3 linked regions of the Arabidopsis thaliana genome follow. The protein of the gene in region 3 interacts with the protein of the main gene of each other region in a biochemical or structural test. Each region holds a gene or a part of one and is shown on either strand. Other genes may lie near its edges.

Region 1 (6,726 bases), on a different chromosome or scaffold from region 3:
ATACTCCACCGAGATCACCTTATCCATCAGCTTACTGAATGAAAACACAGATGAAACGTGAGTCTAAGAAAGGAAAGTGATTAGATACTAAAATGGACAGAACAAACCTGTTATTTGAAGCATCCAATGCTCTGGTGGCATCCTCTTGTGCCTCGTACTGGATAAATGCAAAATTCCTCCTGATCCTAACGTTTACGATCTTTCCATACGGCTCAAAGTGTTTCTCTAGATCCCGGGTCCTAGTATTATCCGCATCAAAGTTAATCACAAAGAGAGTCTTGGAAGGTCTCATGCTGGATGAGGATCTCCTTGAACCACCACCAGATCTTTTATCACCTCCACGTTCACTCTATATACACAGAACCATTTATGTTATCAGTATTTCAAACCTCATAACTAAGTCTGGAAAGAAATAAATCCTGGGGTAAGTATCCTACCTTTGTCCATTCAACACGAAGTCTGCGTCCCTTACGCCCAAATTCAAAGCGGTCAAGTGCTCGGATGGCATCTTCCGCATCCCTTTCATCTTCCATGTATACAAAAGCAAACCCTGGAGAAAAAAGAAAAAGCCAAAAGCAAAGATCTGAGTACATTAACAGTGAGGAAGTGGACCAGATTAAGAACCTTCAACATACACGAACACTGTCCTCCCTCCTTCAACGCCTAACTTAACTCCTAGAACATATTAAATTTTGAACATTCCTAGAACCTTAAAAAAACTCCAAATGACCAGTGAAGCAGTTACAGACCTTGCATTATGGAATTAATATGTCAAGGAACAACTGAAAATGTGGAAGTCAGACGGGGATATGAATGAAAATAGAGAGCCTTCTCCATTGCAGAGGCATGTCCAAGTGTGCAAAGTGATGAGGAATGAAATGCAATTAAGATGGCAGTGCTAATGCGGATGGAAAGTGACTGATTTTGAGGGATAAGAGATGGATTTCCCTATGGTCCATTCATGGCCAGGTGTGAGTATAGGCGTCCCAAGATTATCAAACACATCCTGCGTCAAAGAAAATGCGGTTTTACACTAATTTTTTTTCTAAAAATCTTATTCCTCTGAAGTACTTTCCAAAGTTCAAGCAGGCTGCATCAGGTGGCCAGGTGAATGTGGTCAATGTTTAGTACTCCTTCCAAAGGGAGATAGTCCACCAGAGCCTTCTCGTGGATGGAATGAAGACGAGAGTGGATTTCATGAAATGCATTTGAATTTCGCTTTTTCATTGTACTTAGTGGATAACAATACTGCTTATTATAATTCATTCAGGTTAACCACAAAGACAGAGTAGTAAGAGGCAGAAGAAAGAAAGAAAGAAAAAAAAGGCTCACCAGCTTTCATATCAACCCTCTCAACCTTGCCGTATTTCCTGAATAGTCGTTCCAGGTCACCTTCGCGCGCATCATACTCAAAGTTCCCACAGAAGACTGGCTTCATGCTTCCTGTATAGACAACCACAATAGTAAAAAAGATTCATGAGACTTCCTTAAATGATAATTTAAACACGAATATCACAACTAATTTGTCACCAAGATGAAAACTTTTAACACTAAAAACTAGAGCCCTCACACTAAATCGAATTGTTTTGCAGTAAATTAGGACTTGAAACTCATCTATTCGAGCTCCAAATCAGTTAAATCTAGGAACTGAACTAGACAGTATTAGAATCAAAAGTACAATGCAACAGATCTAATCTAACTACAGTTAGATCTGAATATCATTCACAAGATAGAGAAAACGAGAACAATCCACGAAAGCATGAATCTTTCATACCAGAAAAACAAAGAAGGCTCTGATGAGATTCAACTTATAAAAAACGAGATGGACCAATTCTCTTGTTCTACTTTTCACCAACCAAAAAAAAAAGAAGGAAGAAGGAGATGAGAACCACGACGATATAGAGAGTGAATAAACTGCATCAATTTACCTGTAGAATGATTTTGGCAGGCGTAGTCGCGTGGAAGCCCTAGAAGAAGAAGAAGCTCGCGTCGAGAGATAGGTGAAACTGAAAACAGAGTTAGGTACGATTTAGATAAAGAAGGCAAGAGAGATCATTTGGATTTTTATTTTATTTTCTTTTCTTTTTAGTTTCAAAGATATTTTTTTCAGAACACATTTTGACTTTCTTATTTTGTCTGAAGGACGAGAAGTCGAGAACGTCTACTTTTTAGGAGTATTGGGCCTATATGTTAAACAAATTATAAGAAGCCCAACAAGTAAACAAAATTGAAGCTGCTTTCTAAAAAAACAAAACAATAACAGATTATGAAGACAAACAAATATTAGATTTTTTAATTTTGATTAGAATATACTGATTAATAGAACTAGAACATGTATCACATAACATCTACACAATGAATAATGCATACAAGTTTTTAAAAAGTCTTGCAACTTAACACTCTCAAGATCCCACATGTCAAGTTTTGGATTCGATGAAACATATGAGTTTGTTAGTAAGTTTAATAATTGTTGTTATAAAGAAATGTGTATATTTATATATTACAATTAATTAAATAAATTGTTTTCCTCTTCATTGGATTGCTTCACTTATGTTAAGAGTTTAGTAGTTGCTTTCAAGGCCGAATGATATGTGGCCACGAACATATCATCACACGTGGAATGAGAACGAGTTTCGACTTTTCAAATATGCCATAAAGCCTCAATTATCTTCTTATCTCGCTTGAATATGCAACAAAAAGCTATTAAGATATTCATAAAATAGAGGCGTCTCAAATCTACCAACAAAAAGCTACAAAAGATCCAGTCCAATCCACTGAAGAATCCCAAAACAGAGTAGAAACCCAAACAACCCGATTCAGCAAATAATTCAAAAACGAACGTCCGTACGATTTTCCAAAAACAGAAAGATGGGTTCCACAAGATAATGCGTGGGGACGTCAAAATCCTCTAAACCCGTGGTTCGGCCGCGGAAACACTGTCCCTACCTTCCCCACCAGCCTTCACTGGCCCCATACGTCACTCTCAAGCTTTACTTTCTATTTTCCACTAAAGCCAATTTTGTTGTTTTCTTCACCTTACCACTCTTTTTTTCCCTCTTTGTTGTGTCTTCTTTTCTCCTAAATGTCAATAACGTGAGAGCGAGAGGTAACGAGAGAGATATTTTTGTCAGCGAATATATTTCATGCATATCTTATTGTGAAGATTTTTTATACCTTTTTTTTGTCAATACAATATAGCTATTATTGAGATTGAGATATTTTGTGGGAATTATTGGGATTCAAGATAACTTGCTATTTTGTATTGGTCTAATCCTTCGCTTAGTCCTGTCCTGGTCCATTTACATGTTTTTGGTTATAGTTTGTTTAAACTGAATAATTTTGTTCATCATATGCATTTATGACTCATTTTTAACCGTCCATCGAAATTGATAATTATCCATTACCAAATCTGATTAATTTTTTTAAAAAATCAAGCTTTTCTATATTGTAGTATTATTTTTGGTTAAATATTAGGACATCTACTTCCAATACAAATACTACATGAGTATTTAAAATATCATTTCACAGAGATATTTATGTCTATTATGTTATAGACGGGTGACAATTAATGACAATTTGTTTATTCATAGGAATTTAAAAACGATTGTAACAACAGCAGCCAGCCAACCACACAGGCACACACTCGATAGAATTTAAAGAACTCATAAAGGTTAACGAGTGAAGAGTCAAAAGTCTCTTTACAAGGGTCAAAGGACACACGTCAGACAGCGAGTGGAACATCGTGGGATTGCTTCGCTATGTACTATACACGTGTCATTCACAGAGACAAAAACTCCGTGTGCTCCCCACATATCCGTTATCTCTCCTCCGGCCAATATAAACACCAATTCTCACTCTCACTTTTTATACTAACTACACACTTGAAAAAGAATCTACCTGAAAAGAAAAAAAAGAGAGAGAGATATAAATAGCTTTACCAAGACAGATATACTATCTTTTATTAATCCAAAAAGACTGAGAACTCTAGTAACTACGTACTACTTAAACCTTATCCAGTTTCTTGAAACAGAGTACTCTGATCAATGAACTCATTTTCAGCTTTTTCTGAAATGTTTGGCTCCGATTACGAGCCTCAAGGCGGAGATTATTGTCCGACGTTGGCCACGAGTTGTCCGAAGAAACCGGCGGGCCGTAAGAAGTTTCGTGAGACTCGTCACCCAATTTACAGAGGAGTTCGTCAAAGAAACTCCGGTAAGTGGGTTTCTGAAGTGAGAGAGCCAAACAAGAAAACCAGGATTTGGCTCGGGACTTTCCAAACCGCTGAGATGGCAGCTCGTGCTCACGACGTCGCTGCATTAGCCCTCCGTGGCCGATCAGCATGTCTCAACTTCGCTGACTCGGCTTGGCGGCTACGAATCCCGGAGTCAACATGCGCCAAGGATATCCAAAAAGCGGCTGCTGAAGCGGCGTTGGCTTTTCAAGATGAGACGTGTGATACGACGACCACGAATCATGGCCTGGACATGGAGGAGACGATGGTGGAAGCTATTTATACACCGGAACAGAGCGAAGGTGCGTTTTATATGGATGAGGAGACAATGTTTGGGATGCCGACTTTGTTGGATAATATGGCTGAAGGCATGCTTTTACCGCCGCCGTCTGTTCAATGGAATCATAATTATGACGGCGAAGGAGATGGTGACGTGTCGCTTTGGAGTTACTAATATTCGATAGTCGTTTCCATTTTTGTACTATAGTTTGAAAATATTCTAGTTCCTTTTTTTAGAATGGTTCCTTCATTTTATTTTATTTTATTGTTGTAGAAACGAGTGGAAAATAATTCAATACAAAACAAATCGTTTTCTACTTCTTTGCTTCACATAAGTTAAAAGTCAAATATTTAACAAAAAAGATATTAAAAGTCATATTGTAGTTGCTTTCAAGGCAAAATATGTGGACAGATCATTACACGTGGATGATGTTTGTAAATATGCCACAAAACCTGCATTACATTATTTTATTCTATCTCATGTAAGTTACAGATCTTACAATTTAGCAACAGAAAGCCACAAAATATTACATAAATTGGCTCGTCTCGAATCTAGCAACCAAAAAAATTCAGCCCAGTTCACTATAAAGAATATAAAAAAAAGTTTCCTAAAATAGTGTATAAAACCGAAACAAACTAATTCAACAAACCCGAAATAAACAAATCCGTACGACAACCAAAAATATCTTTCAGATGGGTTCCACAAGATAACCCAGTGCCAATCAGAATTCTGAAAGCGTGGCTCGACCGCGGAAACCATTGTCCATACCTTCTCTTCTTTGTCCCCCCTTACGTGGCTCGCTGTGGAGTCTCGTACCACGTGTCGCGTCACTTCACTCTTTACTTTCTATTTTCCACTAAAATCATAATTTGTCTTTTTCTTGACCATACCCACTCTTTTTTCTTCTCGTTGTCGTCTTGCTTCTCCTAAATATCTCAAATAACGTGAGAGACTTGAGTGTGAGAGGTAGGTAACGAGGCAGACTTTTTTTGGAAGCGAATATAACTTATGCTGATATTTTATTTAGCTTTCTGATTGGAGTTGAGATATTATATAGGTATTATTGAGATATTATATACGTATTATTGAGATTTGAGATATTTTGTAGATTTTATAGTTCTATCGGACTAATTCTTGGCTTAATCCACTAACATGTTTTTGTTTAGTTAATTAAACTGATTATTTTCTGCGCTATAGTTTTGTTAAACACCTTTTAGACGTAACAAAGCAATTACGCTTGATCATCCATCGTAGACTCTTTTTCTTTTTTTACATCTCATAGAAGTTTTGTTTAAACACAGCAGGAAGTAAATTATTTTCTTATTACGTACGTATGATTGTTTTTAGACTATTTTAGTACTTTGAGAAGTAAAATTGGGGATACGAGATAAAAGACAATTGATTAACATGCTTTTTATTTTGACTTCCGAAACTAATCATGGTTGTCTATGTTTATAAATTGTGTTCTTTTTGTTGAAAAACTCAGATAATGATTAAATCAGTAGCGAATGGATGGAGAACACATGATTTTAGATTGCATACCGTAAAACAAAAAAAATCATGATGGATGTAGAACATTCAAATGGGTCAAATAAATACGTATGTGATCAAAAGAAAGTATGTGATCAAAAGGGTTAGCACGAGTACCTTGGGAGGAAATTCTTCTAATTATGAATTATGCAAGAATTTTCGTCAAGGGAAGGTGGGGAAGAGGTAGCTAAAGAATAGAGAATCATATGACTAAGGACGTGGTGGTTGAAGGAAATGAGAGAATACATGAAGAAGAGAAACTTCTTTGAGTGAGAAGGAAGTGCGCTGGCTGGAGAGAAAAGAGAGAAAAGAGTTTCGAGTGAGAGAGAGGGCGTTGAGATTGTGATCAACTTAATGTAATATGTTCTTTTATTACATTTTCTTTTTGTCATATACTCAAACCTTTTACTATTTTGTCTCATAAATCTAACACACCCCACCATTTGTTAATGCATGATGGTAGAAAATATTAAATATAATTAACTACTTTTATGTGATCAAAATTAGGTTTCAGACTCGTTTCGCGATCCGATCTACAATTACAACTGCATGCTTCTAATTGATCTAAATTCTAAATTTTTTATACATATTAAAAAAACAACTTTTTGTTAAATTCTCAATCATCATTTTTGTGATTAACAATTTTTTATAACTCTAAACCAATAATATTTGATTATTTATTTTA
Region 2 (9,568 bases), about 18 Mb from region 3:
CAAGACTTTAAGGGAATTTGAAGATAAGTAGGCTTTGTTTTGGAGATGACAGCTTTCTCTGTGTTCATTCATATTTAATTCTGTTCTAGTCGAGTCAATTTTTTCTCTGAGAAGAAAGAAACAAGGCATACGTAGTATTATGCGTTTAGATGAGAATTCTTAGCCTTTTGACTCTCCATTCTTATTAGTGTAAGTTAGTGCATTATACTAGATAGCTTTCTTATTTCCCGCTTCTTGTGATATGTACCTGGATGAAATGTTTTTCAGTTAGTGGATAATGGGATTATTTTGAAATTATCTAGGCTCCATTGTGGCACAAACCTCACCTGGTGCTTCATCTGTTAGATTTTCTCCCACAACAAGCACGCAAAAGAAACCTGATGTTCCAGCCAGACAAACTAGTATTTCATCACGAGATGATTCTGATGACGATGATCTTGATGGAGACGCAGATAATGGAGATCCTACTGATGTGAAGCGTGCTAGGAGGTACAAATCTTGATTTTTGTACCTTAGAATGTTTCTGGTAATCGTTCTGAATCTCGAGGCTGATAGATATAGACATGCTTTTGGGAAAAGGCTTGTACCTAATAGTTTCTACTTTCTACTCTCTCTAAAGAGAAAGAAAGAACTGAAATCTAGTAGAGGAATGTTTCAGTCAATTTTATGTTGTGACTGTTGTTCTTAGGAAACAGTCAGGCTCTATATATTTAACTTTTTCGAAGGTCATCCTGATTCATTTTTTTTTTTTTGTAATTACCCAGGATGCTCTCAAACCGAGAATCCGCTAGGCGCTCTAGGAGAAGAAAGCAAGAACAAATGAATGAATTTGATACACAGGTTCGGTCTTTTATTAGTTGCTCATACATTTATACATTTCTCGAGTCTTTCTTACTTTTCAACAGTCTTCAGGGGTTTATAGGTAAAGTTTTTACCAATTGTAGGTAGGCCAATTAAGAGCCGAGCATTCAACTTTAATTAATCGTCTTAGTGACATGAATCATAAGTATGATGCAGCTGCTGTTGACAACAGAATTCTAAGAGCTGATATCGAAACTTTGAGAACAAAGGTACTCTTGTGACTCACGAGTGTTAAGAATTTAAAACACCCAAGATTATGATTTAATAACTAAGTTAATTGCATTGATAAAAAACCTGTGCAGGTTAAGATGGCAGAGGAAACTGTGAAAAGAGTGACAGGAGTGAACCCTTTGCATTGGTCAAGACCAAACATGGGCATACCATTCAGCAACACACCGAGTGCTTCCTCTAGTATTCCGCCAAACTCTAACCACATTTTGAAACCAGCAAATTCAAGTACCAACACCAGTGCTGGTTTAGCACAAAATCAGAGAGTGGAGACGGCAAATTTCTTGCCGGAACAGGTGAACCGTGAAGGCATGCAGAATCCATTTGCTCCTGATTCTAATCTGTATGAAACCCTACCCCATTGGAATCACAAGCATTAACCAGAAAAAGAGTCATTGGTTTTGTGATTTTGATTGAGGTAACTATTGTCTGTATTTTTATTTACTGTATGACTCAGCGACGGTAAACTCTTAATATTATATATATGATTGGACATGATGGAAGAATGTATAAGCTATCGTGCTTCTAAGGCAAATCGAAGTTGAAATGGTCGTAGACGTAATCACGTAAACATGTGCAGCAGCGTAAGCGTATAAACACAAATGTATCAATAGTTACTTATGGCAAACGTAACCGTTTTAACGAAATGTTGAGCAACAACAACTCACATTCATCAGATTAAAGAAATCTGTGCAGCGTAAGCGTGAGTGTAAGCGTGTAAACACAAATGACCCATGACGCTCATTCTCTTCACCATTGTTGATCCGATCAAAACCACCGAAACTGGTGATCCCGTTCGATATCAAAATTTGGTTATGTGATTTTCATCAGAAACATTTAGTAAAATGAAATGTGTCTTTACAGTTGGAAATAAGCTTTATAGAACAAATTTAACCTACAAAGTAAAAACTTAAACATTCTGAATCTAACTAAATCAAATATTTACCTATCCGAAAAAAAAACATACAAACAATTAAGCTCCAGTATACATGGGCCTAAAATAGTATACATGTATTCCCAGTTCCAATGAAAGTATCTTAAAATGAAAGATCTAGAAAATGATATTAATATAACCTCTACCATCTTCTTCTATTGAGATTTAGCACCAGATTGGAGACCTGCTTGTACTTTGCTATGGAAGTGTGTTTCCAACCTTTTAAGAGAAAGAAAAACAAAGTAAATGCACTATTTCATTACTGAATAAGAAGAGAAGAAATGAAATGAAAGAAAAAAACGTCTTACCTGGTTGCACATTTGTAATAAATGGTATCGGGGGAGTTGTAAGTTCTACAATTGTTAAACATCCGTCTCGCATCCGCAACAAACATATCCAATGTCACGTAATACTGTTCCGACTCTACCCTCTTTGCAATTACCTTCAGATCTGTGTTCAAACCATTTTTTGGTTACCAAAGTGATTTAACACTTCTACTTAAAAAGAGGACAAATTCTGGATAATTAATAGCGAAATTGATATTTTAACTATATCTTCTTACCAATGGGATCCTTAATGATGTCATAGTAATCAGGGACATCGCGAGAATCCACTGGTTCTTTGAAAGGCCAAGCATCAGCATGGTCTTGCATTGTCTGTAGCAATTAACTACAGCTTGTCAAATTAAAGGGCATGTAATTGCAATAACATAATATGTAAGAGGACATAATAATTAATAACAAAACAAAAAAGATTTATCACAACCTTTAAAAGCGCACGCATGAGTGCATTCAACTGTTTTTGATTTGTCACCATATCAGCAGAACCATTGAATAATTTGAAACGAGTGTGCCCCCACTGATCTGGGGTCCAACCAGCTTCCCCTGCAACAGTATACCATAATTCATGAATTAGCCAATTCATGTATTACAGATAAACCCTTAGCCCACAGCTAACAAATGCAGGAGAATCTCAAACATGCATATCAACTTGATCTCATGGAGCGACTAGCACAATCTTAATTTTGAGATGACTAGAACATTTTAAAGGGAGATATGTCTATATTTTGGGTAAGAAACTGCAATAACACCATCAAGTAGAATCATAACTTACTTAAGCCACGTATTTCCTCAACTTTGATAATCTTTCTAGGAATTCCAGCTTCATTCTGCAAAAATCATCTCATTTATTATTACTACTGGAAACATTGTATACAATAATAGCCACAAGACATGAAACCATTGATGTTTACCTTTAGAAACTCAATTTTTGGATACACATTCTGACAGTTTGATAACTCTCTTATCCTTTCATCAATTGCCTGATATTATAAAAGTACAACCGGATCAGAAACTGATACGTATAATTAGACAGAAATGTAACAATGGTTACTCGTTTAGTGTTACGTTGCTATGCTCTCTTGAAAGCAGATAGCTTTTGGGAGGGCAGCTTGATTTTTGGGCTCATAGGGGAAGACAGGAATTTCCATTAATTAATTCCTCGAGAGAGAGAAGAGAGGAACTTTCAATAATCGAATCCTCAAGTTTGTATTTCTTATGTTTTTAATTTTTTTCAGAATCAGCCATAATGCTAGAGTTAAATAGTGAAAGTAAAGAAAGTAAACAAATAGCTTCGTAACCTGAAGAACTATTTGGGTATAGATGAACCTGAAGGCTCGAGATATTTTTTCACCACATAAAAGGTATTTTCAAAGGCTTACCTTTCTTTGCTGGCGTATCATGCTTGACAAATCCGTATATGGCAGCTTTGGATCAATTTTGCATTCCATAAGGAGACCACCATCATAGTCTTTAATGAACCTAAGAAAATTTCAAAGGTTTTTATTTGCAAAAGTAAGTTTCAAGATGAAGAAGAGAATGATAAAGACAAGTTTTAAATAGCTCTCTCGTAGCATAATCAGCCACGCAATAAAATGCTTGTATTCTAAGGTTTGTGAGCTTAATTGGGCCAACAAATATTTAAGTTAGACATCATACAGATAAAGCACAGAAGTTAAGAATGGTAAATGAGCAGTTTGAACTTAAGAGATACATAGTTTCCATACCCATGCCATACATCTTTCTCCAAGTAAATCTCTTTAGTAAAACCCTGCACAAGATAATAGACGTAACAGATCAACTTAGTGGACGACTGTAAGAATATAAAAATTACAGTTAGAATCCAGAAAGTAGACTTGATAGCTAAGTGTGGAAACAGAACTTTTAGAAGTGAAACTCTGAGGTATCTCCTATTAACCAATAGAAAACATTACATCCAAAACACAGTTCAACTACTTTTCTGGAATGTACTACAGTTGGTCGAAGTTTGTTGAGAGATTAAAAATAGAGCAAAAAATTGCACAATATACGAAACACCAACCTGCTTGACGAAGTAACCAACAGCATTGTTGTCAGCATAAGTAAGAAAATGCGTCAATCCATCAACATCACGTGCATGTTGTTTCAAGTGGTTCATCAATCTGGTACCGTAACCTTTTACTTGTTCATCTGCTGTGATTGCACAAAATGCTATTTCCCCAAACTTCTGACTGAATCCCAGGGAAACAATGGAGTTAATAAGCATGTCAAGACTGTATTCATGCTCATTATGACATCAGACAGTTTCAGAAATATTCTATAGGAAAAGTAAGCTGTGTTTGATGATAATATAAGATAACAAGTCAACATGCTACTCTCTAAACAGCAAAAAGCTGTATAAGCGTATTCACATACATATGGTGGAGAAAATCATCACTGGGTCAAAAGATGGGAAGAGTTATGCGAAAACCTTACCTGTGATATGGACGATACGTGATACCACCTACAACTAGATTCCCTCTTAGTACCATAACAGACTTATGTTTCCTGGGCAAATAACATAAGTTACAGATATTAGAATGCTTACCATTTGCGATTGTTTGTTACAAAAATTGTCAATGTTTCACTTTAGTTTAGCATGTTTACCTATCCATCAGAAGACGAACAATGTACTCCTTGGGCATATTAGGTAACTGTCTTGCAAAAATGTTCTTCAACCCAATCAAGCTGGAATACATTCAACAAATTATTCATAAAAAACGAGGTTAGAACGAAGAATGCATAGCTGATTAGAAGCTAAATTCAATGGCAGGAGACAAATGATGGAAGGCATTACCACATCATATGCTCATCAATGGAATCATTTGAGTAACAAACAAATTTGAGTCGTCCTGCTTGCTCCTAAATGAAAGATATCACCAAATTTGTCAATGGCGATTCTCTGAACTCATCTAGTAATTCATTAGCATAGATCCAGTGATAAGCTACCTCTCTTTTCAAAGCCTCTTCTCTGGCAATGTAAGCTCCGCTAGTCTGGAAATTCTCAGCCAATACCTTAACAGACTCATCCTTTGGCACGAGCCCTGAGATTGAGCTTCCTCCAACAGTGCCACTCACACCAGTCCCAACCACAGATGATCCACCATCTTTTCCACCATCAGAGCTCTCAAGCTTCACCGTGGAGCTTTCCGTCTTAAGTTTAGTGTTGCGACTCGAACCGTTGACTCCAGAGCTGGAATCGAGTCGAGCGGCGGTGAATGTGCGGATAGAAGAGTCCTGGTCCTGTTCAGGAGCAAATTCGTCCTCGTCATCATCCACGACTATATCCTCTGATTCATCAGGATCTGAATCTGTATCGGCGCCGCGAGCGGAGATGCTCTCGAGTTCATCGTTGGAGGTTAAAGCGCCGTCGCGAGTATCGGCAGAGAAGGAGGAAGGAGGGAAAGAGGAAGAAGGAGGGGCGTGATCTTCAGAAGCGGCTGCATTCGCTGCCGTGGTGGCGGCGAGTTTGCGTTTGTGGAGAGAAGAAGTGACGGAGGCGGAGGCGGAATGAGAAGGAGAAGGAGTCTGAGAACTGCGGGAACGATTGGCGGCGTTGAGGTGGGAAGAGTGAGAGTCCATCGAAGCAGTATAGTGAAGGTGATTGAGAAAATCGTGACGAAATCGAGAGTCTAGGGTTTTTGCTCAGATAATTTGGGGGCGGGAAAGACTACGCCGACGAACGGAATATTCTGGCATCGTTTTTTTTTTTTTGTTTTATTGATCCAACAAATTTTAAACCGAAACTAATTCGGTAATTGTAATTCCTATGAGTAAATTTATGCAGTGATTAAAATGTGATTAACTATATTGGTCGGATATAAACAGTACAATTCGTCGGTAAATTATTTAAAAGTTCAGTATACTTTTTGGATGAACATTAACGTCTTTAATCCGTTTATGTGTTGTTTTATTTTATAGTATGTTGTTAAATTTAACTTCACAAAATTTAATGTGTTTGGAATCTGTTACTAGTATTTAACAAGGAAACACAATTTGCTGGTGACAGATTTTGCTATCTCTAATCAACTTTAGTCTTGAAGTAGTGTTACAACATAAATGGTCAATAGAGCTTGTTTACCAAATGTAAAACGAGGAGAATGACAACTTGATAGTGGTAATTTCTTATAAAAAAACACAATTAGAAGAGGTGTAAGCAAGTGTGGCAACTCTTCTTCCCATATATATATGCAAATCCAAGCTTGTACATAAATAATTAGAGGGACGACCTTATATTTCGACATACAAAGATATGTTTTTATTTTTTTAGGCATTAGACGTTAAAGCACCACTTGACATTAGAATACAACAGAGAGACCAAGTGCAGTCGACAATGCATACAAAAAGGCAGGAAGATCGGAAGTTGATGCGGCTGTGACCAGCTTGTCGTCGGTCACGCACCGTTCAGATTCCACGATCTCACCACCAGCAACCTTCACAGCCACCTTTGTCCCATAACTACTTGCACATCTCTTCTTCTGCAATGTAATAATATAGCATGCCACAATGGGAATTAGATGAGTTATAACAAGCTGGCAAAAATTATAATCTATGCTAAGGAAGTGGTGCCATAAATGTGATGAATTATATCTTACTAACCTTCAACAATATGCTGGAATAATATTAGTCATAACCATAACCATAGGAGATTCCTATGTGCTTAGAGCAACTTATCTTGACATTTTTGTTTCGTTTAAATTAAAATATGGTTTGGTTCGGCTTCAGTTTTAACTTTTAAGTCTTTAGAATAGTAAAACGAATTTTTGTAAAACGGTGTATATTACCTTAAGGGCGCCTGTGGCGGCAAGTAGCCAATTTCCCATTCCAATGGCAGCAACAAACTTGCCTTTCTCAACAAACTTTCTGACCAATTCGACGGCCTTGGGGTTCATCACCAAGAGCTCCGGAGATCTTCCTCCGGGAACCACAATGCAGTCGTAATCATCCACAGAGACATCATCCCACGCAACGGTCACATAGAAGTTGTGACCAAACTTCTCAGTAGGAAGTTGCCGTCCGTCTTCAAGGTCGTGTACGATTGTAGCGCATTTCTCACCTCTCTTCTTGGTTGGCGTCACTGCATCCACTTTACATCCCAAAGCTTGAAACGCTTTAAATGGTACGTTGATACTATAATCTTCAACACAATCCTAAATATACCAAAATTACGTATTAGTCAGACCATTTTTTTAATTCCAATATATAAAGTCTAAAAGAGAGTCTTATGAAAATAAGCTACTTACCCCAATCAAGAAAAGCAAAGAAGTCTGATGATTCTCTTTAGAGCTAGAAATCTTGGAGCCAAGTGATTCTAACAAAACTTTGAGACTATGGCCAAGCGTTGGCCACCCCATAGTGGACATGAAACTGCCGTCCTTGACACAATCAGTGATTTCGAAAAGGGTCTGGACTCCAGGCTGTTGCCACCATGCGCCGCCGGAGAGCTCGATAAACGGTTTCATGCTTTCGAACGCCGTGCACTTCATTCCACCGGTGAGCAGACCTGCCGCCGCAAGAAACAGCTGGCTGTGGCAGCTCGTGAAGATGAGCTTCTTGAGTTCGGCGAATCTAGCAACAAGACTCACGCATTTCTCGTCGGCGCTCAAAAGTTCCGTGAAACGTCCACCGGGAATGATGATGGCGTCGTATTGGTCGGGGATGACGCCATCGAAGTTAGCGTTTAGTGTTAGATGGTCAACCACCAGTTCGGTGTATATCTGTAAAAAGGTAAAAGTCAAATTGAAACTCTTCTTTTTTACTGTTAAGAGTAGGCCCATGCATTTTGGGTTGAGACCACCCAATTATCTAAACTTTTTGGATAAAGATAATAAAGGGGAAAGTCCACCCAATTATGAGCATTTGATCGCATTGTTTTACTAAATATGCAAAGAACGATTGCAAGGGAAAAAAACTGAAATGAAGAAAAAGTGAAAGATTCGAGAAATGCCTCGAGGCCAAGGAGATCGTGAGCGGCCATGACGCACTTGTCGCCAGTTTTGCGACCAGGAGAAACGCAGTGGACGCTAACACCAAACGCTTGGAGGACGTAGAGAGGTACTATAGTCTCGTAGGCTTCCATGAACTCTCCGCATAACATCAAAACCGATTTCTGAGCCATTGATCCCATTGTTTTTTCTTAAGACAAGCACACACAACTAGTGTGTATATATATGAGTTCAAATTATCACAGTGTACTTTTTTTTTCTCCAATAAAAAAAGAGATAAGGTTATATATATAAGTGGATACGTTGCTCTATTTGGAGATTATTAAAAAATAATTTATAGAAAACTACAACAATTTCTATTTCGTTCAAAAAATATAAAGTGGTTTAGTTCGCGATTAGACTAGTTTGCTACGTCTACTCTCACCATTTAAAATTGAAGAGAGTTAAAATAAACACGTGTTAATTGCAAATTCCCTACGCACACCAACCTCTCACCTACTTGACATCTTCTTATGCATAACCCGGGAAGCCAAATAAAAACGGTAAGGCCAGATTAAGTGGGGATGACAAAGAAGTAATTGTAAAAAAAGTTTGTTGCCTCAGAGCCAGCAAAATAAAAAAACGTATTAAGATTTGTTTTCTTAACAAAATTAAAATTGAAAACAAATCTTAAACAATTAATGAAGAAAAGTAAATTACAAGGCTTGCATTTTATGTAAATGGCAGAGTGCATGCAGCAATGAAACTACTTTATTAAAACAATAAAACTTAATATATTCTTAGTTAATTTATATATACATTTCTTCTATTTTTAAAAAAAAATACAGTGTACTCCAAACTTTATCAGAATGGTCGAAAATAATCAATTACCATATGATTAAAAGAACATATAGAATTTGGAAACATTAATCAAAAAAATTATTTTAAGCATATTGTTGGATTTCTTTAAATTGAACGGTAAAAATATTCAACATAGTAAATGATAAATGTGACATGTAGTGATTTTATGTTTTATAGCTTCTCTAATTCTCTCTTATCTTGTTTAGTTCTTTGTGTCACAAGAGACATGCAACGGAAATGATGTAACTCTATAGTCTATGAGTTGGGTTGGGTCGATTAGCCTCATGGACTGCTAAAACCATTCGAAAGCAGACATTTACACTTATTGCATAACGCTTCAAGGTAATTGGAGGGAGACCGGTTTTCAATGTCAAAATGGTCGAATCACCAATCCAGCCATCATG
Region 3 (8,761 bases):
AAAATTATTCAAAATATCTCGTTTTGGGGAAAAGATGTTGCAGTTTGCTACTCACACGACACACACCAACCTATATTTAATACTCACTGAACAAGTAACCCAATGCATGCTCTTGTTTCCCACACTCCCACAAATCATAAAATACAATTATGTTATTATTTCGTATATCGGGTTATTATGTTATTTTTAACTTTTATTTAGTTATGCGATATTTCCTTATTTCTAACTCTTAAGGTTGGCGAAAAAGGAAAAAAAAACTCTTAATATGGTGAGAAAATATGAAATATATGACGTGGATTTTCCTTAGGTCTCTTTAACTATTTTGTCTGATAACAATAATTGGTTTATAGCTTTGGCGTATAGCCTCCTTAAGTGTTATCTCACGTCTCTTCATATTCTGCTTCTCTCAGAAATTTCCTTAATTATTATAGCAAAATTTGATCTGCATTTAAACCCTAATATTTACGTTATATCATTAATTTCTTCTTCTTTCCGTTTCTTATTTTAGGAGAATAATTTGCTCAGTTTAGTGTTCACAAGCAGAGTCGCTCTAAACGGTATGCTCGATTCTGCGTCCTTTTTTTGCTCCTTCTATGTTTTATCTTTCTAGCTTTCATAGTTTTTTTTTTCCTGCATTATGGTTTCAGCGACAACGGATTGATCGTTTTAGGGTTTTTACTTCCATAATTATTTCCTAATTTTTTCTATTTTTAATCAATTTAATAGAGTGTTGATTGCGATGAAGAAGAAAGCCATTGTGATTGATGATGGATATACAAGGTTTATGGTGAATGAAATGTCTGAAAAAATCGATGTTCCAATTATCTGTCTTGACGAAGATGATGATGATGATGATCTTATGGTTGATAAGGAGTACAACGTCTTCTTGGATCATCTTCGAAGAGGTGATAAGAAAAGTTCAAGCACTCGCCTTGAAGTTGACAATGGAGCATCTGACATTCGTAGATTAAAGATCTTTTCTTGTGATTCAAAGAGATCTAAGCTTGGGAATGAGAATCCAGTGAAGAACAGAGTTAATCAACAGAGCAAGAGGAAAACTGTTGGAGTTGAGGTTGAAAGAGTTAAAATCCGAGAAATCATTCAAAGAGACAACAGAGTTGCTGAACGAAGAAAGCGGAGGATCGCAGAGTTAGAAGCTGCAAAGACTTCAAGAGACGTTCCTTCACTCGAAACCCAACAAGAAGACATTCAACAACGAGACAACAAAGTTAGGAAACTTTCCGAGTCAAAGGCTGAGACTTTAAGAAGAGATGATGTTCCATTGGTTAAAACTCAAGAAGACATTCAAAGAGACAACAGAGTTGCTGAACGAAGAAAGAGGAAATGTGACGATGCTTTAATAAAAGATGTTCCATTGGTTAGAACTGAAGAAGACAAGAGGGTTGCTGTGGAGATTGATCACGTAGAGCGAGTACATAGAGTTACAGAGGTTAATGATGTAGATGAGACTTCTTCAAGGAGCAAAGAAGTTTTTGTAGGGAGAAGGAAGAAGAATGAGGGGAGTGAAGCGGTTGTGGATAAGGATTACATGAGGTACCTCACATGGCTTGTAGATTCTCTTAGCGATTCGACAACTGAGCCAATGGAAAATCTTCAGAAAGATGATATGGATACTCTAAAAGAATCGACAATGGTACCTGAATTGGATCCACTAGTAGAAGTGAAGGTTGAACCACATGATGATTGGTCTGATTATATAATTGCGATGGGTGATTCCCCTTTTTTGGATGGAGAGGAGTGTACACCGTTTGTGGCGTCCAAGAAAGTGGTTGATCTTGATGAAGGAAGCAAAGAGAATGAAAGTAGTAGCAGTTGGTTTAGAAAGGAGCTAATGGATGTTTTGAAAAATCCATATGATGAAGGAGAGATGAAGCAGCTCCATCGTTACGTATCAATCCATAAAAAAATGACTCGATGCAGAGAACTACGAAAGGGAAGAGGATCTGATTATGAGACTGACGAACTGGGACAATCTTATCTAGAAAGTTTCCCTGATTTCGAAAAAGAATACAAGCTTGTGGTTGGTGTTGATAAGGCAAGAGCTTTGAAGTTGCTGCGTGGCTTTTTCTTTTACTTGAAATATGTTTCTCATGATGGTGTTTTCAAGCCTTGGGAGAAGACTCAAAGTTGGCAACCTTAGAAATGGTAAAGCTTTTGGCTTCATGTAGATTAAGTTTTTGGATTTCTGTCTGTTTTTTTTTTTTTCTTTGTTGTTGGATGGCAATCTGATCCAGTGTAGTTTCTTGTAACCAAAGAATCTGGTTTTATTTAGGTTTTTCCTGAAAACTGATGCAATGTCTCAAGACTTTCTGATCTCATATAACAAAAATTGAAGGAATCAGATGAGTGAAGGCATTACAATATTCAGTTTAAACGTTGTATCAAAAAATCTGAAACAGCCTTTGAAGGTCATAACAATCAGACATTGTCAAGTTGTCGAAACTAACAGAGAACAAGATGTGTAACCAAAATCAGCATCACCTTCCTTTATATTTACATGGCTAATATATGTTCGAGAAGTACATGTTAGGACCATGAAGCTATGAGTCATGTTGAGTCACCTATTCCCTTATGAACCAGCATATCATATACTCTGTCTACTTTACTCGGCTCTACTTTGAAGAAGCTATAAGCATCAGACTTTTTCTTTATCTGCCCCTTCTTTATTTCTCTTGTTAAGATATCCAACATCTTCAAATAGTGTACAGGCAGTATTCTGGTCTCATTGCACATCTTCTTTTCCTGCACAAAAAACAGCTTCAATCTCTCAAACCATAGGAATAATGTCAACAAATCAACAAAATCACAAATAAGATGACAAACATCAAGTTTGAAAATTATTGTTCTTACGGTCTCTGAGAGTAAGTCAGCTCCAAGGAGACCATCAACATCCCAAGTGTCCAAACCGCTGTATATTCTTGGAGGTGTGACCTTTGGCAGTGAGTCAGAACCAAAGGGATGCAAATTTCTGGGTAACCCTCTTGGACTTTTTAGTGTTTTACCGGCTATACTGCCTGGTGCACCGTGGTTAAGCCGCAGCAGCATACTTTCTTCAGCTTCCTTCTTTCTCTTCTCTTCTATAAATCTATTTGCGTCTGAAGTTGTCCTGCAACCAGCAGTTCTAGCTTCCTGCAACATTTATTAAAAGCTCAACTTAATGTTCCCACCTAATTGAGTTTGTAATCCAGTACTCAAGCTTGGTAAAATTTTAAGCATCAAACCTGAAGATCCTCGATTCTTCTGAGAATTTGGTGCTCTTCAATGACTTTCTTAATCAGTTCCTTGTGCTCTTCTTTGGATTGGAACCGCGCAAACACTTTACAGCTTTTATATATTTTTCTCTCCTCTGCTGAAAGGCTCATCTCATATTGATCAGGGTACAACAAGTTTCTTTCCAGAACAAATTCCTTCCTCCGCTTCCTCTCATCAAGCCTGCCAACAAAGGCACAATCTTGGCTTGTAGCATTGGCTTATGAAAAAATTCTCCGGTTTAAAAATGGTTGTTCCTGTGATAAGTGTACCTTTTCGAGTAAATACGAAGAACCTGCAGTTTCTGCTCACGCTCAGCATCTGTGTCAGAATCCTTAAATTCCATGTCAGCAAGCAGTTGCTCAGCATCGTTGTCATGTTCGATCTCAAATTCTTCCCTCTTTAGATTGTAACCATATAACTCTGTTACTAATGGAACTTTCTCTCCAGGAAGTCTGAGTTTCTTCTCCCCGACACTCCTGTCAGATTGTTGTTTTGCAGCTAAGACACAAGGGCCGTTAACTACCTTTAGTTTTTGTTCGCGTAAATATCACTTTGCATAAAAACTTGTTCCAGTATATAACAAACCTTCCAACTTGATGATGTCCTTAGCCTGCGGTACATTGCCTTTCTTCTTGACTGTACAATAAAAAGTATTACTTTACATATGGAATCATGGAAGAGATAATATTTGGGGTCGTAGTACGAAATGCGGATGATTTGCGTCCTTAGCCATAAATCTAAGTGCAAATAATGTCTACAATTTTATATAGATAAAAGCATTTTCACATACCTCCAGCTAAGGCAGACAAAGGTGGATCTATTTCATTGACCTTCCCTGAAGCTTCGTGTCTGCCCATGGAAACATAATAGTACTTTTAAAAAGGTGCATTCAACATTGTAAACGTAGGTAAACTATTGTTACAAGCATAAGTATATACTTGATTTCAGCTGACACAGGTAACTCTTCTTTTGGAGATAGCCTCACAAATGCAGGTATTTCTGTGACAAATAGTAAACAGAGCTCAGCATCCTCCTTTTTTCAGTCAAGGTTAATATACGAGTCCCAAATCAACAAGAAACCCCGCTAATAGATTTTAAAGCTGACCTGTTTTGACTGCACTATCTTTACTCATAGCAAGCAGCTCATCTTTGCTCTTTCCAATAGTATGGGACAAGTCCTACAGAGCGGGGAGCTAGAGTAAATAAACAAGCTAGGTTCAACTATCTGACGATCATGTGTTTTCATCAGTCCTTACCGGAAGTGGAAAGCATGGTGACTGCATGTAAGCAGAATTGAAGTGTTTAATACATTCTGTCGTTGTCTTACTACCAACATGGTCTGCAACTTCTTTCCAATTGCCAAACCCGTATGTCGCAATGGCCTAACACAGTCAATTTACTTCCCAATAGTCAGATGGAATCTCTATATAGACATGGGAGTGTACAATCAGAAACGATTAATGATTACCTCAAGAAGGAGTATCTCTTCATCGGCATTCCAATCAGAAGTAACAAGCGAAAAAGACAAATTGTCCTGTCAAACAAAAGGGTAGATTCAATACAAACAAAAATACAACCATAGAACATTTTCTTTGTTTTAAACACAATCACTAATCTAATTACTTTTCAGCTGACAAAGCGTTGAATTGAATTCAAATATACTGCTCGGCGTTGGAAACTAACCATAACACGATATGGGTGACTGTTCTTGTGACGATTAAGTTCAACGCCGACAGAAAAGCATTCCACACAAAGATCAAAGTCCATACAAACAGCACATTTGAAACGAACCAAACCAGACAGATCTTTATCGCAATAGTTACAACAGTAAAGGCCAGGTTTCCTCTCATTCCCAGCTTCAATTCCTACAATGTATTGGTACATGTAAGAACTTTTGGAAAACGCAGCTTGGTACATGATACATCAATGCATATCTATCCACAGCAGAAACTTTAGTCCTATCAGTATCACACCTAATTGCACAAGTAAACGGAAACCTACCGGTGGAAATTGATGCCGCAGCATTCTCAGGACCCAATGATATCTTTTTCCTTTTTGATTTTCTGAAACAGCCAAAATCATCAAAATTAGGATAAAGACAAGAGACGACAGCAGTATGAAATCAAGAGCCACCCACAAGTACCAAAAGAACTCCGATTCAGATAATCAAACACAGCTAAGTGGATTACCAGATATTGAAATGTTTTCGCAAAGACAAGTAAGTAATTGAACAGAGAAAACCCTAGAAGACTTCGAGCTAAGATGGACAAAGAACGAAACTTTAAACGAACCCTGGATTCAGGTCTTCCTCAGCAGGACGAGAAGCTAGTTTCGAACGACCCATCGGCACCAAGCTCGCACTTCTTCCCGGCAGATTGAAGAAAAAACCAGAAGAGCGAGAAAACGCTAAAAAGCAGTGAAAAAATGGTAAGTCGGTAAATGACTAAATTACCCTTAACAAGTGTCAATAATTATGTTCACGCCATCTTTAAACCCTACGGCAGTTGTCAGTGGTCACGTCTCTCTCTTAACCTAACCAATCCAAAGTTGCCGCTAGGGTCACCGGAAAACTTCAGAGTTGTGTCTTCTATTGAATTCTCCGGGAAGGTAAAGAAGATTAGTGGGTTTTGATTGTGCTGTATAAAGATGTGTACTTTGTTTGAGCTGTCTCTTAAACCCTAGCACCAATCCGTGAACCTTGAAGTTTGTCATTCCGGTAGAAATTCCTCAGCAGTTGATCTAATTCGTTCTCTGTGTAGTATTAGTGATGGGGCTTTCTCTTGGGGAACAACATTTCATTAAAGGTGGGATTGCTCAAGATCTTCGAACTGATGGTCGGAAAAGATTGACTTACCGTCCTATCTACGTCGAAACCGGTGTTATTCCGCAGGTAGTGTAATCTCCTAGAGCTCGTCCGCTTCTCATTGTTGCTTCCCAGTTGTTTAACAGATATGTTCTTTCTCTTGTTTTTGTTGGCTCTAGGCTAATGGTTCAGCGAGAGTTAGAATTGGTGGAACCGATGTGATTGCTAGTGTAAAGGTACTTCCTTTGTTCTCTCTGCTACTGTTCTATTGTTGAATGGGAAGTGCTATTGTAGATGTTACCCAGTAATCTTGTGTAATTGCAGGCTGAAATTGGGAGGCCAAGTTCACTTCAACCCGATAAAGGAAAGGTTGCAGTTTTCATTGATTGCAGTCCAACAGCTGAACCGACATTTGGGGTGAGCTTTTCTTTTATTTCGTTTGGTTTTGGTTCTATCTAGCACTTGTCACACCCGTTCTATCGTTCTATTGGTGTTTCTCTTACTAGTGGAATTGTTCAACATGAGATTTTGGTTATCATTACTTTTCTTCAGAATCTCCTAAATTCTACTGTGTTAAGTCTTTAGGCGGCTAATTCTTTGTGATATGTTGTTACTTAGGGGAGAGGAGGTGAGGAATTGTCTTCTGAGCTTGCTTTGGCTCTTCAAAGATGTCTTCTGGGTGGCAAAAGTGGAGCAGGTCTGCAATCATGTTTATGCAATGCTTTTTTTTACCTGCACACTGTTACGCTTTCTGTTTGTAACGTTTATAGCAATTCATGTTTTGGTACCAGGAGCTGGAATAAATTTATCTTCGCTTTTAATCAAAGAAGGAAAAGTTTGCTGGGACCTTTATATTGATGGTCTTGTCATTAGTTCGGATGGGAATCTATTGGATGCCCTGGGTGCTGCCATTAAGGTAATTCTTGTGATGTGTGTTTGGTTTTCTCTCTTAACCCTTAGTCTCAGGTTTTAGTTACGAATGTTAGTGAGTAAATCATACCCATCAATCAGAATCATGAGAAAGGAAAGGCCAGAGAATATAGGAAACGAAAGGGAATGGGTCTTTAGTTAAGTGTATATAGATTAGCTCAATGTAGTTGTCTTGTTATTGGTTTTAGTAGCTTTACGATATGTTTCCAATTGATAGTTTAAGCAACCCAAAAGTCATCTTTCCTCAAGGCTGATCACATGCTTTAATGCACTTGTTGACTATACTCCTGCAGGCTGCTTTAACCAACACGGCCATCCCAAAAGTCAATGTTTCAGCTGAAGTAGCAGATGATGAGCAACCAGAGATTGACATCAGCGACGAGGAATATCTTCAATTTGACACTTCCAGTGTCCCGGTCATAGTCACGTTAACAAAAGTAATCGAATCTCACTTTTCTTGATTCACATCGACATCTTCTTATGTACATTTCGCTAATCTTTTACCATGCTGTCCTTGGTTTTTGCAGGTGGGAACGCATTACATAGTTGATGCAACAGCAGAAGAGGAGTCTCAGATGAGCTCAGCTGTATCTATATCTGTGAATCGGACAGGCCATATATGTGGGTTAACCAAACGAAGCGGGTCTGGCTTAGACCCAAGCGTCATCCTTGACATGATCTCTGTTGCCAAGCATGTGACAGAGACTCTGATGAGCAAACTTGATTCAGAGATTTCAGCCGCAGAGGCCTGCGAAGACGAATCTTGACTCTTGAGTCTCAGAGAATCAAAGTTTCAAGATGAAACATGTTAGCAAGGGATCAACAATATTTGTATCTGTGGAAAATCTTATACGAAGTCAGAACAGATTAAGCTAATCAAAATCCTTTTTCCTATGTTCTAATGTTCCATGCTTTGTGATAGTAAAGGTGATATTTTTGCCATTATAGTATTAGTAACATTATATCTCATCTAGGGATTATTAAAAGAGGCGTTCCTTGGATCTCTGTGTTTAAAGTGAAAGACATAACAAGTTACAAAAGGATTTGTGATATTTTGGGAGGAGGAAATGAGAATGGAGATGAGGTCAGCAAATGAAATTAAGTGGACTTGGAAAAAAGAGAAGATTGGTGGTCCATGATTAAGCTCAAAGGTCAAAAGAGTGTGTGAGCAGTGTTGGTCACGTGTATCTCAGCTTCGGGTTTGGTAAAAATGGCTTTGAAACATTCAATTGTTTTCTGTAAAACTCCCAAATCCGATACTATTCACATTTGTTTCCTCCTTCATTTCATAACAAGCAAGCTGGCAGAGAAAATTTGGTAGTCATCTATTATGTCATAGAATTATGATATGGTACATACTACAAAACAACAAAAGGAGGGAGCAAATAGAAAGCGTTAAATGGCAAAACTCAACGAATTTACGTATATTCCGATGAACTAACTAACAATGATATTGATAACTGTTTTTGCGAATCAACTAACATCGTTTCCACATTTAAATTGTGACTAGCATAAACAATTAAAAAGTAAGATTTGAAAATCAGTCGGTTAACTAATTGGAAAAGAAAATGAAACTAAATTGATTGACTAAAGTGATTTTTTCTTTTCTTATTGGCCACTAACTCTTATTTTGTTTTCATTATGGAAAAAGAGTCAAACCTAATCAAATATATTTAGTCTATGATTTACCCTAATAAAATATACACAAAAAAATTGATAACTACAGTACTTAAAGGTTTTTAACTGTAAAAGTTA

The links.
Region 1: the proteins of ADA2A (region 3) and CBF1 form a complex in vitro, tested with the Arabidopsis thaliana proteins (one study listed by BioGRID).
Region 2: the proteins of ADA2A (region 3) and HAG1 form a complex in vitro, tested with the Arabidopsis thaliana proteins (2 studies listed by BioGRID, with this or other methods).

The regions. Positions count from the first base shown.
Region 1 is NC_003075.7:13,019,880-13,026,605, reverse strand, and holds CBF1 (C-repeat/DRE binding factor 1), read left to right. Parts: upstream 1-3,609; 5' UTR 3,610-4,043; coding exon 4,044-4,685; 3' UTR 4,686-4,826; downstream 4,827-6,726. Other genes in the region: RS40 (arginine/serine-rich splicing factor 35), read right to left, coding at 1-34, 108-349, 438-550, 1,333-1,438. UniProt on the Arabidopsis thaliana protein: Transcriptional activator that binds specifically to the DNA sequence 5'-[AG]CCGAC-3'. Binding to the C-repeat/DRE element mediates cold-inducible transcription. CBF/DREB1 factors play a key role in freezing tolerance and cold acclimation.
Region 2 is NC_003074.8:20,209,986-20,219,553, reverse strand, and holds HAG1 (histone acetyltransferase of the GNAT family 1), read right to left. Parts: upstream 6,149-9,568; 5' UTR 5,962-6,148; coding exon 5,329-5,961; intron 5,242-5,328; coding exon 5,177-5,241; intron 5,068-5,176; coding exon 4,987-5,067; intron 4,888-4,986; coding exon 4,816-4,887; intron 4,572-4,815; coding exon 4,403-4,571; intron 4,133-4,402; coding exon 4,089-4,132; intron 3,844-4,088; coding exon 3,744-3,843; intron 3,345-3,743; coding exon 3,276-3,344; intron 3,192-3,275; coding exon 3,137-3,191; intron 2,908-3,136; coding exon 2,789-2,907; intron 2,680-2,788; coding exon 2,586-2,679; intron 2,474-2,585; coding exon 2,332-2,473; intron 2,243-2,331; coding exon 2,179-2,242; 3' UTR 1,901-2,178; downstream 1-1,900. Other genes in the region: BZIP25 (basic leucine zipper 25), read left to right, coding at 303-489, 765-840, 945-1,070, 1,164-1,469; DJ1F (Class I glutamine amidotransferase-like superfamily protein), read right to left, coding at 6,678-6,857, 7,164-7,529, 7,623-8,096, 8,327-8,506.
Region 3 is NC_003074.8:2,467,446-2,476,206, forward strand, and holds ADA2A (ADA2 2A), read right to left. Parts: upstream 5,651-8,761; 5' UTR 5,618-5,650; coding exon 5,565-5,617; exon of another isoform or gene 5,463-5,564; intron 5,337-5,462; coding exon 5,275-5,336; intron 5,192-5,274; exon of another isoform or gene 5,191-5,191; coding exon of another isoform or gene 5,139-5,190; coding exon 4,936-5,138; intron 4,808-4,935; coding exon 4,742-4,807; intron 4,656-4,741; coding exon 4,530-4,655; intron 4,452-4,529; coding exon 4,379-4,451; intron 4,273-4,378; coding exon 4,212-4,272; intron 4,123-4,211; coding exon 4,064-4,122; intron 3,910-4,063; coding exon 3,859-3,909; intron 3,772-3,858; coding exon 3,543-3,771; intron 3,454-3,542; coding exon 3,243-3,453; intron 3,151-3,242; coding exon 2,872-3,150; intron 2,764-2,871; coding exon 2,569-2,763; 3' UTR 2,386-2,568; downstream 1-2,385. Other genes in the region: AT3G07730 (uncharacterized protein), read left to right, coding at 740-2,161; AT3G07750 (3'-5'-exoribonuclease family protein), read left to right, coding at 6,041-6,163, 6,256-6,312, 6,401-6,493, 6,695-6,773, 6,868-6,992, 7,300-7,443, 7,534-7,773. UniProt on the Arabidopsis thaliana protein: Required for the function of some acidic activation domains, which activate transcription from a distant site. The exact mechanism of action is not yet known.